4 linked regions of the Daphnia pulex genome follow. The protein of the gene in region 3 interacts with the protein of the main gene of each other region in a biochemical or structural test. Links are inferred from orthologs where the notes say so. Each region holds a gene or a part of one and is shown on either strand. Other genes may lie near its edges.

Region 1 (3,442 bases), on a different chromosome or scaffold from region 3:
AATTCCCAACTCGTTGCGGTAACCCAAACACTGAGGAGCAGAAAATAAGTTGGGGCTATGTTCCAAATGCTCGCAAGCTCTAGTCTGCATTCGAAATAAAGTAAAATGTGAAAAATAATAATAAAAAAAAAGAGACGAACAATATACTTTCAAATCAAGTACTAAAAACCCTCCTTAAAAGGGATATTTACCCAGTCAACGCCATTCCGCAAGTGAATACCAACAAATGCTCCGATAGGAAGTACATTGCGGATAAAGTTAACTGCCCGGTCGACAATTCGCCGACTCCATTTAAGGTATTTATGCAGTCCAACGTTTTCTTGCTGAACTGGAAAACTTGCAGGGGCCCCGGTAAATGCAAGAACTGATCAAAATAAAAAAAAAAAAAAAAAAATTTAGTTTGTTAATATTAAGTCACAATAAAGTCTTCTTTATCTATGATTAAGTCAACAACTATGGAATTTAAGTAATATCTACCTGGTGATTTTTGAATAGGGTATCTGCTGTTCCATTTTCTGGCCATGTCTTGATGATGGACATCATAGTTAAGTGGACCATAAAATTCAGATTGAACAAAATCTACACTGAAAGTGTCCCAAAAAGGCCCAAAAGGGTTTCCTTCCTTAGCATTACAGTCTGTACCTTGACCTCTGGCCATGTAACAAAAAGCTGAAAAGGTATAAACATTTTTCATTAGATTTTCAAAGTCAATACTCAGACCTAGTAATTCATATAATTATAAAACTTGCATGTTCTTTCGTTTAATGGCCAAACTTTAGGAGCAATATTCTCCATGAAGTCTTCCATTGAGATAACCCGATGGAACTCTGAGAGGGGTTCCAGTTCAAAATAATGTAAGAAAGGAACCTGAAAATGAATTTTTGGATAATACAGGAATAATTCATTTTTTATAATAATACAGCGTGTTCGAAGGAACCTGAACTGATTTTGGCTCCCCAAATCTATATTCCACCCATGGGGGAAGAGCAAGTGTCCTATTTAGAGCCTTAGCAAATGCAAGTGATCCAAGGAAATGGTCAGCTTGATTACCAAACCTTCCTAGAAAACAGAAATGTTGCAAATTAAAGGTGAAACCTTCTGATTTCTAAAAGTACAAAAAGGGTTATAACTGATTACCCATGCACGGACAGTATAATATATATCCATTTGAATCTACATCAATATTTGCAAATATTGACGCAGCAAAAAGAAATGGCAGCAAGAATGTTAAGAGAGACATGTTTTTTTCTTATTTTTATTTAGAATTTGAAACGGTACAAATTCTCAACAGGTTTATGGTAGATGGCGGCTGTTAGTATTGGTTCAAAATTGGCCCATAGATGGCTCTTTCAGTCTTTTTCAACAATCAAATCAATTGACAAGTAAACAAATCACTTGACATGTAATAGAAAATTGAAAAGGAAGTCTTCTGTTAAAAATATTTCTTTAAAGCCAATAATTTCCAAAATGGATCTTGTATCTTTTCCTCTAAACGACTGCCATGGTTATTCCGTTAAATTTTCACCTTTTATTGAACGAAGAATTGCCTGTGTAGCTTCTCAAAATTATGGACTGTCAGGTAGGCATGAAGAAAAGTGCATCGTTGATAATTACATTGAAAAAATCCCGACTGCTTATCATCTATTTATCGTTTTTAACGTTACTAAGGATCTGGATTTCTCTTCGTTCTTGATTTAAGTCCTACCAACCACTTGACATTAGCAGTTCAGAGTCAATGGACTGATGGGCTTTTCGATTTAGCATTTGCTGAAGATCACCCAGATATAATCCTTACAGCATCAGGTGATGGAGGAATCCAATTGTGGGATCTTAAAACTCCAGAAGTATTAAACATTTCCTTAATATAGATACACTAATAATAAATTGTAACCCTATTTTAGGTGCCAAAACTTGTGTGGAAAGAACACTCAAGGGAAGTGTGTTGTCTAGACTGGAATCAAACCAGACAACAACAGCTAGTTCTGAGCTCTTCATGGGACAGAAGCATAAAACTAGTACCTCCAGAAAATTGTATACTTTAATAGATGATGTATTTATTCATTTTTTTTAAACAATGTAGTGGGATCCTAAGGGTACAAAGAGCATTTGCACTTTTTTGGGTCATTCTGATCTAGTCTACAATGTAACTTGGTCCCCACATTTACCAAATTGCTTTGCATCTGTCTCAGGTGAGAACCTCTTTCATTATCAAGTAAATAACAATGTTAACTCTGTTGTTTTGAAGGGGATCATACTCTATGTATCTGGAATAGCACTAAATCAGGTCAGCCTGTAGTCAAATTAACAGCTCATGCCACAGAAGTATTAGCGTGTGACTGGTCAAAATATGACCGGAACGTCATCGCAACTGGAGGAGTAGATGGCAGGATTAGAGCTTGGGATTTAAGGAATACCACTGCTCCATGCTTTGAACTAATCGTAATTCTTCATTTGAATCATCAGTGGAGCAAAACAACAAAAAAAAAACAGATTCTCTAACCTAATTTATGCATTTCTTCAAAGGGGCATGAGTATGCTGTGAAAAGATTGCGCTTTTCGCCCCATCAAGCGCACCTTTTGGCTTCGTGCTCTTACGACATGACCACGCGTGTCTGGGATACACGCCGCCTTCAGCCAGAAGTTTTTGCACATCACCGCGAATTTGTCTATGGACTCGACTTCAGCTGCCTGTCACCTGATAAAGTAGCTGACTGTTCCTGGGATCGCACAGTATCCATCTACACACCTCCATCTGTGTTGAACACTGAATAGAAAAAATGTTAGAATTACTCCCAAAATCGCCGGTTATTGTTATATTATTTTTTACATATTCGCAAATTTAAATTTCCCAGTTAAATGAATGTGGGATGTCCTGGAATATGTGAATCATTTGTTTTAGAACCGTATTATGAAATTTAATAGAATTCTAACTTTTCAAGTTATCAATAGCGTCATTACCGATCATAGCTCATTACATTTGGTTGCATCATAGAACTTAAGGGGGGGAGGCCGGGAGGGGCAGGTGTTAAACCATGGTCTACAGTGGTTAAACTTCCTATTTCTACGATTCTATTTTTTTTTATTTTTAAGTAAGCAGTATATTATTGATTATTCATTCATCTGATTATCTGAAATTGCACTAATTCTAATTTGAATACGAAGAAAAAAAAATGGGAAATTAAAAAAAATATATATGTAAGAAATCGATATTTGACTCGCGTCGTCTGCAGCCTGCGGCTTGGGGTAAGACTGACGGAACTTGAACTGTCAAAATAGCTTACGTGAGTAAAGACACAGTGACTGAGTACGTGGCAAAAACAAACTGGAAGTCGGTGAAGAGTGCTGCATTTTCTTTATGTAGGTAACTGGTTTTGAAATTCTATATAAGGGTTTGTAGAATATTTGTTTAAAGCTTGTTTGTGATAAAATTCATGAATTTCTA
Region 2 (3,825 bases), on a different chromosome or scaffold from region 3:
TGCGGCTCCTAATATACTATAGTTGGAATATTAGTAAATAAATCTATACGCCATGCTGGGAGAGAGAAAGAGAAAAGGAATGTGTGTGCTGTTGTTGACTTGATAATTACACAGTTATGGCGGGACAATAACAGCAGAAGCGCCGCATGCAGAGTGCAGTGCCAGCTGCAGTTTTCGTCGCGTTTATCATGGTAATAACATCACTGTTGGTTACTATGTGCTGCCGATTTTTTCGCTTCACTCTTTACACCAGAATGTGTGGACACAGTCCTGGTAAATGTGTAATGTCTGCTGATGGGGATGTCTGGCTGAATATTTATTTTCCTCGTTTTTAAGGCTAATCGGAAAAGATGCAGATGGTCGGAATGAACAACCGCAGCCCAGATATTTAGGCACGGTATTCTACGTTGCGCCAGGGCTATAAGATCAAGAGGATGCATTAGATGAATTCACTTTCTTTCATAACGCCCACTACATTTCAATCTAATGATGGTCGTATTCACGGTGAATATTTATCGAGAAATTTTCACGTTGGAGAGTTTGTTTGTTATAGATTCAATCCTTCGAAAATTCTCGGATTTTGTTGTTCAAATATTCTTCTCGTTGCTCTCTGATTTTGTGGAGGATTCCGTTCATAACTTTTTAAAAAGAGAACCTGATTTGATGGGTTTGTTATGAAATGACTGCCCCAACTATTCAGTGAGATGTTTAGCAGTTTCTATTCAGAGCCGAGTTCTTTACATAACGCTGCCGTGCAGGCGTTCATGAAACCTATTGGCAGTCGACGTTGGCTGAATAGGGGGGTGGGCAATGGTGGTTGAATACACATCAGGAATCACGCACGCTTCACGACCGCACTCAGCAGAATTATTACACAACTACTACCAGAGAACCGGGTTGGTGAGAGCTGTGCTGCTGTGTGCAGGCACTTGGAGGCCATTCCCAACTCTCCTCCTTCCCCAATCCTATAGCCTTAGGCAGCTCCAATAATTGGCTGCTGCACGACAACGAATAGAAATTCAATCTCACCGGAGTGATTGCTTGCCAGCGTGAATCCGAGAACCTTTTTCTTCAATTCCTATTTATGATGTGCTCTCTACTTCAACTTTTTTTCACTCTCTCTCTCTCCCTTTCTTCATCCCTGACATGTTTAGATTATGTTGAGTGGTTTCCCAAGCATTTTAGCTTCATCCGAATCATTCCTTATAATCAAACTTCATTGTCGATTATGTTGAATATGTTGCAGTAAAAAAAAAGATATTAATAAATCTGATTAAATTTGAAATAGTCGTCAGACTTAATTTCAAAACAGTAAAAGTAAACAGACAAGGATATTACGCATCAACGCGTGTGTATTGTTACTTAGTTATATCCTTAACGTATTTAAAAGTTTGCGGCAGATTTTTGAATTGAAAGAAATTTTCACACTACTACCATCTACCGGTGTACAAACTCATCTCATTCGTTTCGGAATTTTTATAATGGTGTCGTCTTGTTGTTGACAAGTCGATTCCGTTTTCTGTATCAGAGTTCGCTGGATTTATCAGCAAATCGAGGCAAAGTCTTCGAGTTTTTAGTCTGAATCGTTCAACGCCATGGCAGCTCCATTAAAGCCGTGGGAAAGGGCTGGTGTAAATTCACGAGCTTTTGGTGGCGACATTGGCAACACCTTACCTACACCCATCGTCAGGTGCGTAATACATGTTGTGTTTAGTTCATTTGTTTGGTTTGTTACCTTCATCAATATCTGTTTTGATTATTTTAGTGGGGGTGGAGGAAGTGCTTTTACAGCTTCAGGGCCTGGCGTCCCACCACTGCCTCCTAGAGTACCCGGGGCAAACCCAACAAACAATGATTATGGTGCAGTTTCAAGCTATTCTCCATATCGAACAGGCATTTCAAGTTATTCAAGCCCTTACGGTTACAGTAGTGGATATGGGGGTTATTCGGGACTTTCTAGTGGCTATGGTACTAGTTATGGAGGCTATGGTAACAGCTATGGTGGATATGGAAGTTACAACTCTTATGGAGGGAGAAGTTATGGAGGGACAAGTGATAACAGGTAAAATTTTAAAAATTAAAATAATCATACTTACAACAATTCAACAATTTCATTATTTTTTCTCAAACAAGGTTTATTTCCATGGCAGAAGAGAGTTCTCAACCTGCATTTCAGAGCTTGGAATCAATTGTCCATGCATTTAGCTCCATTAGCATGATGCTGGATTCAACCTTGAATGCTGTTTACAGCTCTTTCAGAGCCGTATTGGGTATGGCTGATCAGTTTTCCCGAATGCGAACACATTTAAGCAAGGTGTTTTCTGCATTGGCCATATTTCGTACGGCAAAATGGGCTCTACACAAATTATTCTACATATTTGGTATGTCTGATTATGCAAATTCTCGACGCAGTAGTTGCAGCCATTGTTATCAACTAAACCCCCTTGTGTTTACAGGTTTGAGACGAGAAAATCCAATCAATACGGCATGGTCCACTGCCGTATCAAATTCGGATGCCTTATCTGCGGGTCTATTGACTGAAGCTGATATTAAAAAGTCCAGATCATCATGGCCCATCACCTTGTTCCTTGCCATAATCATTTCTGCCCCATATTTCATATGGAGGATCATATCTTCCCTAGACAGTGCTCCGGATGCACTAGGTGCGTTAACACACTAACTTTTGTTTCATAAACTCGCTTATTCAAATTATCTAATCTTTTAATGCTCTAGGAAAAAAGTGGGCTGATGGCCTAGGAGAATATTATACTGCTCAGGCAGATTATGATTTCAATGCCGGAAACGAACAAGAATTAAGTTTCAGAGCTGGCCAATCCCTACGCTTGGCTCCCCGTTCCCTTCAGCCTCGCATCAAAGGCTGGATGCTTGCCGGCACCGATTCACAACACACGGGCCTCGTACCTGCGAATTACATCAAAATTTTGGCCAAACACGAAAGTTCGACTCCCAAATAATTCATTTGACTGATATACAGTAGCTAAACCAAAGGAATAACCTTGTCCAAAAGTAAATTGTTAGCTGTTTGATGCCATTCAGTTATTTCGAGCTATATTTTTATCAGTCATGGAGTTGGGCCACTACTCATATTCAAAGCCTCAAAAACATTTAAGGCGTTTGAAATTATTGGCGGCCTTTGTGAAATTATTCAAATTTTTTTTACCCCAATTTTTAGAGGCTTGTGAATAGGAAACGCTCAAATGTTGACGAAATCGTACGATTAAGTGATGATGACTCCTTTTTGTTATGCTGGGTTTGTTTATTTGTAATTCAACAAATCAATATATATTGTGGGATATTAAAACTACTACTAATTGCTATGGATGATTTTTTCTTCGGAAGGTTATGTTCATGATCCTGTTTCGGTCCTTGGTCAAAATAATTAAAGGCTATGCAGATTTTACGAAGAAGTTTCCTTGGAGACACCAGACATTTCTGTCGTGGCCGAACCGACGCTCGAATCGTCGTTGGTAGGAACAGGCTCGTGAATGCAGAACCAGGGCATTTTCTTCTGCAGTTCCATGCTGAAAGGATGAAGAAAAATGTGGTAAGAATGACTGTCATTTCACTATGAATAAGATGTGTTACCGATAACGGGGATGGTTGATTGCATAGATCCATGGGTTGATGCAGGATACCAATTTACAACAACAGGCAGGCACCGTGCTCAGAAGTGGTGTCAGGACGGACCTGTGAAAAGATGACGATGGTGATTTATTTGAGAACAAATTTGTTGAAAGTATTATCTCACCTATTTCCAAAAGCGGCTGTGAGAGCCACAAAGGCATAAGGAGTCCAAGCGAAAAC
Region 3 (4,010 bases):
AATATTGTCGGACATGACGCGCTTAGAACGTCTAGCTTGAAGGAGTAAAGCGGACACTAGATGTTCGGCTGCTTCTCTGTTTCGAGAATTTAGAAAATGTATACACTAAACAGGATTGGAGAAAGAAAATGTTAATCTTTATTACCTGTGAGCACCTAGGTTGATACAGGAAACTGCCAAGTTATAACGCGCGCGAATGAAACCAGGCGACAGCTCTAGAGCTTTGTAATATGACTCAATGGCCTCTTCAGATTTCCCTCCATTGGCTACAAATAACACGTAAATCATGCATACGTTCTTATGTAAGACTATTCTATGTAAGAAAAGCTAGTCACCTAAAGTTGCTCCGAGCCGATTCCAAAGCAAAGAATCCTGAAAATAGGAATTAACAATAAATAAAATCATAAACTTGAAAAAAGTACATGCAAATAATAAATCACCACAACTTACATTAGGTTTCATCTGAAGAGCAGCCCTGAAACAATCGGGAGCCTAAAAATTGAAGCAATGCAGCCAATTGAAAAAATCAAGAAAATCGAATAATTTCATAAATGCATCATACTTTATCAAAATCCCCAGAGAGATTGAGAAGTACGCCTAAGCCAGTTTGCACATCGGGATCTAAGTCTTGGGAAGGTTGTAATCGAGCTGCTGTTAAGTACATATCCTGAACTCGGTTAAAAGTATCCCTAGGTAGAATTTAAAACTCGGGTAAGTTTGCGCCGTAATATCACAACAAATTAGAAAATATTTCCTGTACCCAGAAACTAGGCTTGTAAATGTTCTCTCCCGTTCGTTAACCCTGGCTGATGAAGGAGAGGTCAAGTGTCCGTACTTGGGATTGTTCCGCAACCAGTCCTAATAATATAAAACCACCTTTAATGTTGTATGCCTTACACTAATTGGAAAACAATTACCTCCAGGGCTTGGCAAGCTTGCAACTGGTAAGATTCATTTGTGTAACTTACAGCCAGACCCATCATGGCAACAAGATTTGTTGGTTCCAATGCTAAGCAACGCTTGTATGCGGTAATTGCCCCTGGATCTTGTTCGTTTTCGGCAAGAGTCAACCCTAAAATAAAAAACAAGCTAACTTTACACAGAATCCTGGCATATAAATAATTAGATATTTTTACCAAGAACTTCCCAAGCTTTCACATGTTCAGGATCTTTTTTTAGAGCTGCCTCAAACAGCAAAATGGCACTTGGAAGATCACCTTCTAATCTTTTTTGGAGACCTGTATTGTAAGGATCCGCGTTGTCTTGGTACGGATTCTCTGCCTCAAATGTGTACTAAAAACCAACAGAAGTGAGAATCAAGGAACTAGTAAATACCATGCGCATTATTACTTCACTTAACGGATCTTGTTGCGTTTCCTTAAGCCATCCGTAGCTTGCAGGGTTGTCGTCGGCTGCTTTTTCCCAGTCTTGTTGAAGTTGTGACCAGAAGTCATCTTGAGCTGGATTTCCGCCCCTAAACACTTCAGCGCTGGCACCGTCTTTATATATGCAAAAAAAATTACAAGGATGAAGTTGATTAGCTACTTAAAATATATAACACTACCGCTGAATTCTTTTGTCCATTCGTCGGCCGAATCAGGTTGACGATTAGTTGTGAATTCAGCAGCCCAGTCTTGATCTGCACTGGATTCTGGCTGTCTTGTTACACCCTCTGAGCCAGAAAACTCCTCCGCCCAGTTTGAATTACTATGAGCGGTAGTAGTCCGAGGTTCCGAGGTCAAATCCTCCTCCCCTTGATTGACCTTGTGCATAAACTGCAAAAACTGAAAGCTTTTTTTCAGAAACTTTGGTCAGGAAAGGGATCATGCGCATAAAATATTACCTCAGATTGAGCAAATTTTGGATCTTTCATTCTGTCAATAATTTCTCCGGCAGTTTGGGCTAATGCGCCAGGAGCAGAAAATCCCGGTTTTTCTATATGAGAGGTTAAGCTATCCCAATGGTTGTCCCACTCTGCATAATCATCTACAACTCCCATATAGCCAGGACTGTCCAGAAACTCCTGACTCCATCCACTAGCAGAAGGTAAATCTTCTGGTATCACATGAGGTTCTTTCCTCAAAAAATCTTCAGCCCAGTTTTTGTCATCAAATGCATAATGGGCTACATTTGGTCCTGGTTGAATAGGAGGTCTAGCAATTCCTTGTGGCTTTTCCAGATCCCTCATCTCACGTAAAAGGCTATCCATGTTAAAGGCACCTCTTGATCCTACTTGAGATGGAGGTGGAATACCCTCCAAAAATTCTCTGACCATCTAGAAAATAGTTGAGATAAAAAAAAGATTTGTGAGAGAATGCTTTTTCTTTAGACAGTGAGTCAGGAATCAACTTACAACATCTTCTGGTCTCGGTTCAGGGTGTCTATGTGAAACAGGTACATCCTGACGAAATCCTTGATCTCTGGTAAAATGTGATGCTACTTTAAGCATAGGATTCCTTCCACCACAATTTCCATCAACTAATTCTCGAAACGCCATTCTAGGTACTGATGTCCGAGCTCAAGGTCTCCAAACTTCTTCCTGAATGTATAGCTACCTAAAAATACAAAACAATATATTAGTTTCTGTTACACATGTGTCATTAGAAATCATGTGTTACCTAAAAAGAGGGTCTAGCTCAAGAATGGTTCGGTAATAATTTCCCAATACTATTCATCAATATAACTTATGAAAGCAAGTTGTTAAGATATCGTGTGTATGTCTTATCACTGTAACTTCTATCACTCTGCAAAGTCACATCCACACCAATTTCGTACAACAAACAACAAAAGCCACCTAGTGAATAAAGGCCATGGTGGTATAGATGGCTCTGTCGGTCATGAAAAACATTACGACTTTTGTTCGAAATCCCGATCCGACGAGTCGTCAGCTCTGTCCTTCGTTTGGTGAAAATATTTTAGTCTTGAAATTCTGCCTAGTTTTGCCTGTCTATTGTAATTACTCAATACATTTAGTTTGAACATGTCAGCGAACGACGAATTAGTTGCCAATTTCCGGGAAGTAACTGGGATTGATGAACAAAGGGCTCGTTTTTACCTAGAGTCATCCGGTTGGCAATTAGAAGTATACTAAGACAGATTAAGAACAGTTATGAGCATTCAATAAATAAATCACTTTGATTCTCAGACAGCCCTTGCCAGCTTCTTTGAAAATGATGGAGCTATGGACAGGCAAGCTGGAGATGGAGAAGATGAACCTGTTGAAGTTCCTTCAAACCAACTTCCAGAACCCCCATCAAGGTATTAGTTAATATGATTTTTCACATACTGTAGTGCAGACCAAATTTTGAAAATTTAATTATAGAGGTGCTGCTGCTGTCCATAAACTTGTAGAAATGAATAGTTCTTCTGATTCGGATGAAGAGGGCCAAGCTTTTTATGTTGGAGGCTCTGAGAGAAGTGGTCAGCAAGTCATTGGTCCACCACGTAACAAGGGAAAGCCTTCTGGAGATCTCATTGGAGACATGTTCAAATCAGCCAGAGAGTGGGTTTACTCTTTGAGATTATTACAAGAAAAATGTATTAACATTTTCTGGATCCTAGGCATGGAGCAGAAGTTTTGGAAAAGGGGGCCTCAACCTCAACCAAGGGTAATCAAACATTTAAAGGAACTGGATATCGTCTAGGGCAGAGTGAAGAGGATACACAAGGTAGTTATCTTTGCCATGAAATAACAGCACCATGACATTTCTTCAAGCATAATTCCTTTCTATAGTCATACCAGGCGCACGACAGCCTGAACAACCTAGGACCGTTGTGCTAAAATTATGGAAAACCGGCTTCAGTTTAGATGAGGGTCCAGTGAGAGACTACCAAAATCCGGCAAACAAGGACTTCCTTGAATACATCAAACGCGGGTAATTGTGCATTCTACGTTTTAAATATGAATAAAACAATTGTTTACAAATTTCCTTACAATTTGTCCATCATTAGAGAAGTACCCATGGAGTTGATCCGTGAATCTCGCGGCCGTGAAGTGCATTTGCAAATGG
Region 4 (4,215 bases), on a different chromosome or scaffold from region 3:
GCCCCGCGACAAATTGCGCAGAACGAAAGAGCACCGTGAATGATGAGACTCGAGAGGCTTTTCCATCTACGCATCGGCCGTCACGGGGCGAACCCACCCGACAAAAATACAGAAAAAATAAAATAAAAAAAAAGACTTTTGGTTTCTTGAACAAAAAACTTTGAGACTTGCGCAAATAGAAAGAAAGTCAAATTGCTCGGCGGTCTATTCCGACGGATAACTCCCACTGGAAAAAAATAAAATAAGAAAGACACTTTGCGAAAAAAAAGAAGAGATAGAAACAGATAGAGTGAAAGATGGGTTACGTTCGTTTTAGAAAAAAAGGTTTCTTTCTTTTGTGTGAGTGTGTGGTTGATTGTCTTGACGTCAAGACGTCAATTGAGTGCGTCTACACGTTTGTATTTGGCCGGGCGAGTAGTACATCTTTTCAATCGTGGTCAGAGTACATTTGTACTCGGCATATTTTGGTCCCACCATTTTTCCAACAGCTTTTTAAAGGGGCTCCGACACAAAATAAAAAACACACAGCAAAACAACAAGCACCTTTTGTGCGGGGCGGGCGATAACGAAGATAACAACAAGCTCGGTAACAAAGTTGTGATGAGAGCTGGACCCCCAATATAGACTTTCCATTTTATACTTCTTTTTTTAGTGTGTGTGTGTAACCCAACTACAATAAAGAGACTCTACTGGTTTCGAAAAAATGCAATTTCCCTTTTAAAAAACCATTTTTTGTTGTCCTACGATAACCAAAAAAAGCTGGAAGATAAATTGCCTAAGTGAATCTGGAAGATCTGGGTATTTTGGTAATATCGGAATGTTGTGTGCGGGTTTGGGAATTTGCGCAGCAGTTTCAGAGCCGGCCCATGACGGTGACGGGAGCGGTGGCGCTCTTGATGGACTCGGCCAACACCTCCAAAACACGATCGACGCGCTCATCGGTAGCGTTCTGTCCCATTAGTCCGACACGCCAGATACGTCCGGCAGTGGGGCCCAATCCGCCGGCAATCTCCACGCGCCTTTTTATATATTTTAAAAAGACAAAACAAAAATAAAAACGTGAATGGTTATTTCCATGGACGTAAGAAAATGCGTACGGGGCGCGCGAGAGTCACGAGAGGGGTTTAAATTTACATGGACATGGCGTGGGTGGTGACGGATTTCCAGTCGACGCCGTCTGGGACTTGAATCGCCGTGATGCACGTCAGACGGGCGGCGGGCTCCGACGCCAGCGGCTTCAGGTTCAATTTAGCCAAGCCGCTGATAAGGCGATCTCGGCTCTGACGATGGCGATTCCATGAATTCTCCAGGCCTTCGTTGGCCAGCAAGGCGAGAGCTTCGCGCAAGGCGTAGATGCTGGAAATGGGCGCAGTGTGATGGTACCTAGCGTTTGACCACACGTTACAACGTTCAAGTGGGTCATTCTAATATCAGAGGTATCTGGAAATCTCGTCGACCTCGTCTAGAGGACGACGCCGCCGCCGCCCGCCAATGCTGGCGGGCAGCAGTGGCGACGACCACGGTGGAACCACTTACTTGCGCGGTTGGCTATCGCAGCCCCAGTAGTTGCCAAGCCAATTCATGTCGAAGTAAAAAGAAGATATCGGGGTCTTTCGCCCGGCAATCTTGGCCCTAGAGAGTCAGTAGTGTAGAGTTAAAAGCGGAACGATAAGTAATCGAATGAGACTCTTACACTGCGCGAGGGCCAAATGAGATGGGAGCGGTCCCGGGCGGCGCTCCCAGGACTTTTTGAGAGCCCGTGTAAACAACATCAACTTGCCATCGATCCATGTAAAACGGCTCACCGCCCAGGGAGGCTACGGTATCCACTAGCAACAGACAATTATGCCTGCAAATAGAAGAGGAAATCAACGTCTCGCTGATAAGCTTGATTTTAATATTTAATAGATATTATTTACTTGGTACACAGGGCACCAAAACCCTCAATGGGTTGCACCACACCGGTGGACGATTCTCCCTGAGCCAGAAAGAGAACAGCTGGTTTGTGTTGCAGTAAGGCAGCTTCAATATCAGCCAAACTGAAATTTTCTCCTGCCACTTTTGTGACAGTTTGAACATCAGCACCTAATCATCAACAAACAAAAGATGAATGAATGGAGATGGAGCTTTAACGAGCAAGTGGGCATAAACTTTTACCTTGGCGGTTGGCCATATCAGCTGCTCTTTCTCCCCAGATTCCATTGATGCCAATGAGAACAACATCATTTCGTTCAATGAGATTACACAAAGCTGCCTCCATGCCTGCATGGCCTGTACCACTTATAGCAAGGGTCAGAGTATTTGTTGTTTGGAATGCATACTGGATGCCTTGTTTGACATCATCCATAATCTGCAGCAAATGAAAGATGTTTACAAATATGACAACAACAAAAATGTTAAAAAGCCACATACTTGGGTAAACTCAGTGTGAAGATGCCCCAATAAAGGCAAACTTCCAGCTTTCAATACATTTTCAGCGGCATTGGATGGACCTGCTCCCATTAACAGTTTGGACGGGACCTCGATTGGTCTTGAAAGGCACTGAGGAGGTTGATAGTCGACGGCCATGGTAACTGTGCAAGCAGCAACATAGTTCAAAATAGTAATTCATTTGAACATTGCAACAATGTTTCACGGAAATAATTTAAAGTAATGATAACCTTTGTAATTGACGCAGTAATAATGACAAGCAGTGAATCCGTTATGATCTCTTTCGACTTTGGACACGAGTTACGGCACGAACCAGCTCAATGCTATGGCAACAGTCGTTGAACATATCGTCTGCAGACATTCCGACGCCACCTGTTGAGCCACTTATATATTCGTGATATTATTCAAATAACTCTACTTTGTCAATTTAGCAGCTACCTGACTGAGCAAGTAGCGTTCGCGTTAGCAAGGGTAGTTTGTTATTTAGTTTCATTTTTGAAAATCTTTTTTTTGTGTTTAGTGTTTACCCTTATCCTGTCTTCGCAATTTTCGAATTTGTCCTTTTATTTTTACGCGCCGTCTAGTGCGAAATCAAGCAACTAAACGGTTGGGCACCCCCAGAGAAAAAAAAACCCTTTCTAAAAAAAACATAAAACTTTTTCTCTGGGCACCATTTGTGGCGCACCCCTTTGGATTGCGATGTTCCCGTAGGAAATATGAATTTATATGATGAATTTATATGTAAAAAAATATACAGTAGGGGAGAGCGGGGCTATTCCGGACGGGGGCTATTCCGGACAGCCGCCTTATCGGCCTGTTAGAAATCAATTAAGGAAATAATTTTTTACCAACTGATGCATAACAATGTTAGGTACTGGTATGCCAAGTTTGGTAAAAAAACAATGATAAATTTTAGAGTTATTTAAGAAAATCAGATTTTTCCAATAAATTTTTCGCAATTTTTCTTATTCTTTTGCTTTGATTGCGATTTTTAACATTTGAAAAATTCAAAATCTAGTTCAACTATATATCACTGAAAAGCCCATTCAATTATCTTTAAAAGTGTACGAAGTTTTTTTTGTGTGTTTTCTCGTTGATTCACAATTAACGAAAATGTCAATCTTATGTTGACGGGGTTATTCCGGACGGCAAACATAAAAATCCCGGTTGTGCTAAACAGACTGCAGAAAAAGGGATAACAAACTTTGACTATGGAGCAGTTGGACATCCTGCGCAACATGGTCGCGCACTATCTCGTCTATGCTTAGCCATGGACTACTAAAGCTAGAGGACGGGACTCACGTCCTATCCCGCCGTGTTATAGCTTGTCGGGTGGATTTTTAATCATATTTTTTGAAGAAGGGTCAATCGATAGAGATTTAAAAAGCTATTGTAAGTCTCCAATGCACATTTCTTGTGAAGATATTAAATTAAAAGATATTTGCGTTTTAATTTTTAGAGGACGGGAGAGGTGTTCGTTGGTTGTCTCCACCTAGCGCTAAGAATTCTAAACTCTTCCATGGTTTTTAGAAAGAAAACAAACAGAATCCAGAGAATCACCAGAGAATCCCAGATAGCAGACGCACCTAATCATACCAAACCAAACCAAAACCAGAGAATCACAGAGTGGTCAACCAACAATCACCGCTAGACGGCGACAACCAACGAACACCTCCGTCAATTTGTAATTAAAATATCATCGAAGTTAAATATATGTCGCATAGGGATAATTTAATAGACACTAGCGCATTTCTAAAGCTCTATTGATTACAGTAACAAAAACAA

The links.
Region 1: the proteins of peroxisomal targeting signal 1 receptor-like (region 3) and peroxisomal targeting signal 2 receptor-like form a complex in vitro, tested with the Homo sapiens proteins (3 studies listed by BioGRID). The link is inferred for Daphnia pulex from reciprocal best matches to the Homo sapiens genes PEX5 and PEX7.
Region 2: the proteins of peroxisomal targeting signal 1 receptor-like (region 3) and peroxisomal membrane protein PEX13-like form a complex in vitro, tested with the Homo sapiens proteins (3 studies listed by BioGRID). The link is inferred for Daphnia pulex from reciprocal best matches to the Homo sapiens genes PEX5 and PEX13.
Region 4: the proteins of peroxisomal targeting signal 1 receptor-like (region 3) and alanine--glyoxylate aminotransferase-like are reported together in a solved structure, tested with the Homo sapiens proteins (2 studies listed by BioGRID and IntAct, with this or other methods). The link is inferred for Daphnia pulex from reciprocal best matches to the Homo sapiens genes PEX5 and AGXT.

What each region holds. Positions count from the first base shown.
Region 1 is NC_060018.1:847,306-850,747, forward strand, and holds peroxisomal targeting signal 2 receptor-like, read left to right. Parts: upstream 1-1,355; 5' UTR 1,356-1,467; coding exon 1,468-1,579; intron 1,580-1,668; coding exon 1,669-1,844; intron 1,845-1,901; coding exon 1,902-2,015; intron 2,016-2,080; coding exon 2,081-2,189; intron 2,190-2,245; coding exon 2,246-2,439; intron 2,440-2,523; coding exon 2,524-2,772; 3' UTR 2,773-2,942; downstream 2,943-3,442. Other genes in the region: GDP-fucose protein O-fucosyltransferase 1-like, read right to left, coding at 1-84, 192-364, 478-669, 750-867, 938-1,059, 1,138-1,240. UniProt on the Homo sapiens protein: Receptor required for the peroxisomal import of proteins containing a C-terminal PTS2-type peroxisomal targeting signal. Specifically binds to cargo proteins containing a PTS2 peroxisomal targeting signal in the cytosol.
Region 2 is NC_060017.1:2,686,771-2,690,595, reverse strand, and holds peroxisomal membrane protein PEX13-like, read left to right. Parts: upstream 1-1,465; 5' UTR 1,466-1,595; coding exon 1,596-1,690; intron 1,691-1,765; coding exon 1,766-2,062; intron 2,063-2,133; coding exon 2,134-2,381; intron 2,382-2,456; coding exon 2,457-2,663; intron 2,664-2,733; coding exon 2,734-2,975; 3' UTR 2,976-3,325; downstream 3,326-3,825. Other genes in the region: opsin, ultraviolet-sensitive-like, read right to left, coding at 3,419-3,542, 3,607-3,708, 3,770-3,825. UniProt on the Homo sapiens protein: Component of the PEX13-PEX14 docking complex, a translocon channel that specifically mediates the import of peroxisomal cargo proteins bound to PEX5 receptor.
Region 3 is NC_060028.1:9,644,642-9,648,651, forward strand, and holds the start of peroxisomal targeting signal 1 receptor-like, read right to left. Parts: upstream 2,801-4,010; 5' UTR 2,619-2,800; intron 2,556-2,618; 5' UTR 2,498-2,555; coding exon 2,354-2,497; intron 2,276-2,353; coding exon 1,844-2,275; intron 1,785-1,843; coding exon 1,565-1,784; intron 1,500-1,564; coding exon 1,351-1,499; intron 1,294-1,350; coding exon 1,137-1,293; intron 1,073-1,136; coding exon 918-1,072; intron 859-917; coding exon 761-858; intron 690-760; coding exon 563-689; intron 493-562; coding exon 451-492; intron 373-450; coding exon 336-372; intron 267-335; coding exon 146-266; intron 77-145; coding exon 1-76. Other genes in the region: NSFL1 cofactor p47-like, read left to right, coding at 2,981-3,082, 3,146-3,258, 3,323-3,502, 3,562-3,668, 3,734-3,875, 3,952-4,010.
Region 4 is NC_060018.1:10,707,093-10,711,307, reverse strand, and holds alanine--glyoxylate aminotransferase-like, read right to left. Parts: upstream 2,801-4,215; 5' UTR 2,661-2,800; intron 2,576-2,660; exon of another isoform or gene 2,574-2,575; 5' UTR 2,569-2,573; coding exon 2,413-2,568; intron 2,351-2,412; coding exon 2,158-2,350; intron 2,086-2,157; coding exon 1,920-2,085; intron 1,850-1,919; coding exon 1,694-1,849; intron 1,633-1,693; coding exon 1,537-1,632; intron 1,384-1,536; coding exon 1,135-1,383; intron 1,020-1,134; coding exon 854-1,019; 3' UTR 379-853; downstream 1-378. UniProt on the Homo sapiens protein: Peroxisomal aminotransferase that catalyzes the transamination of glyoxylate to glycine and contributes to the glyoxylate detoxification.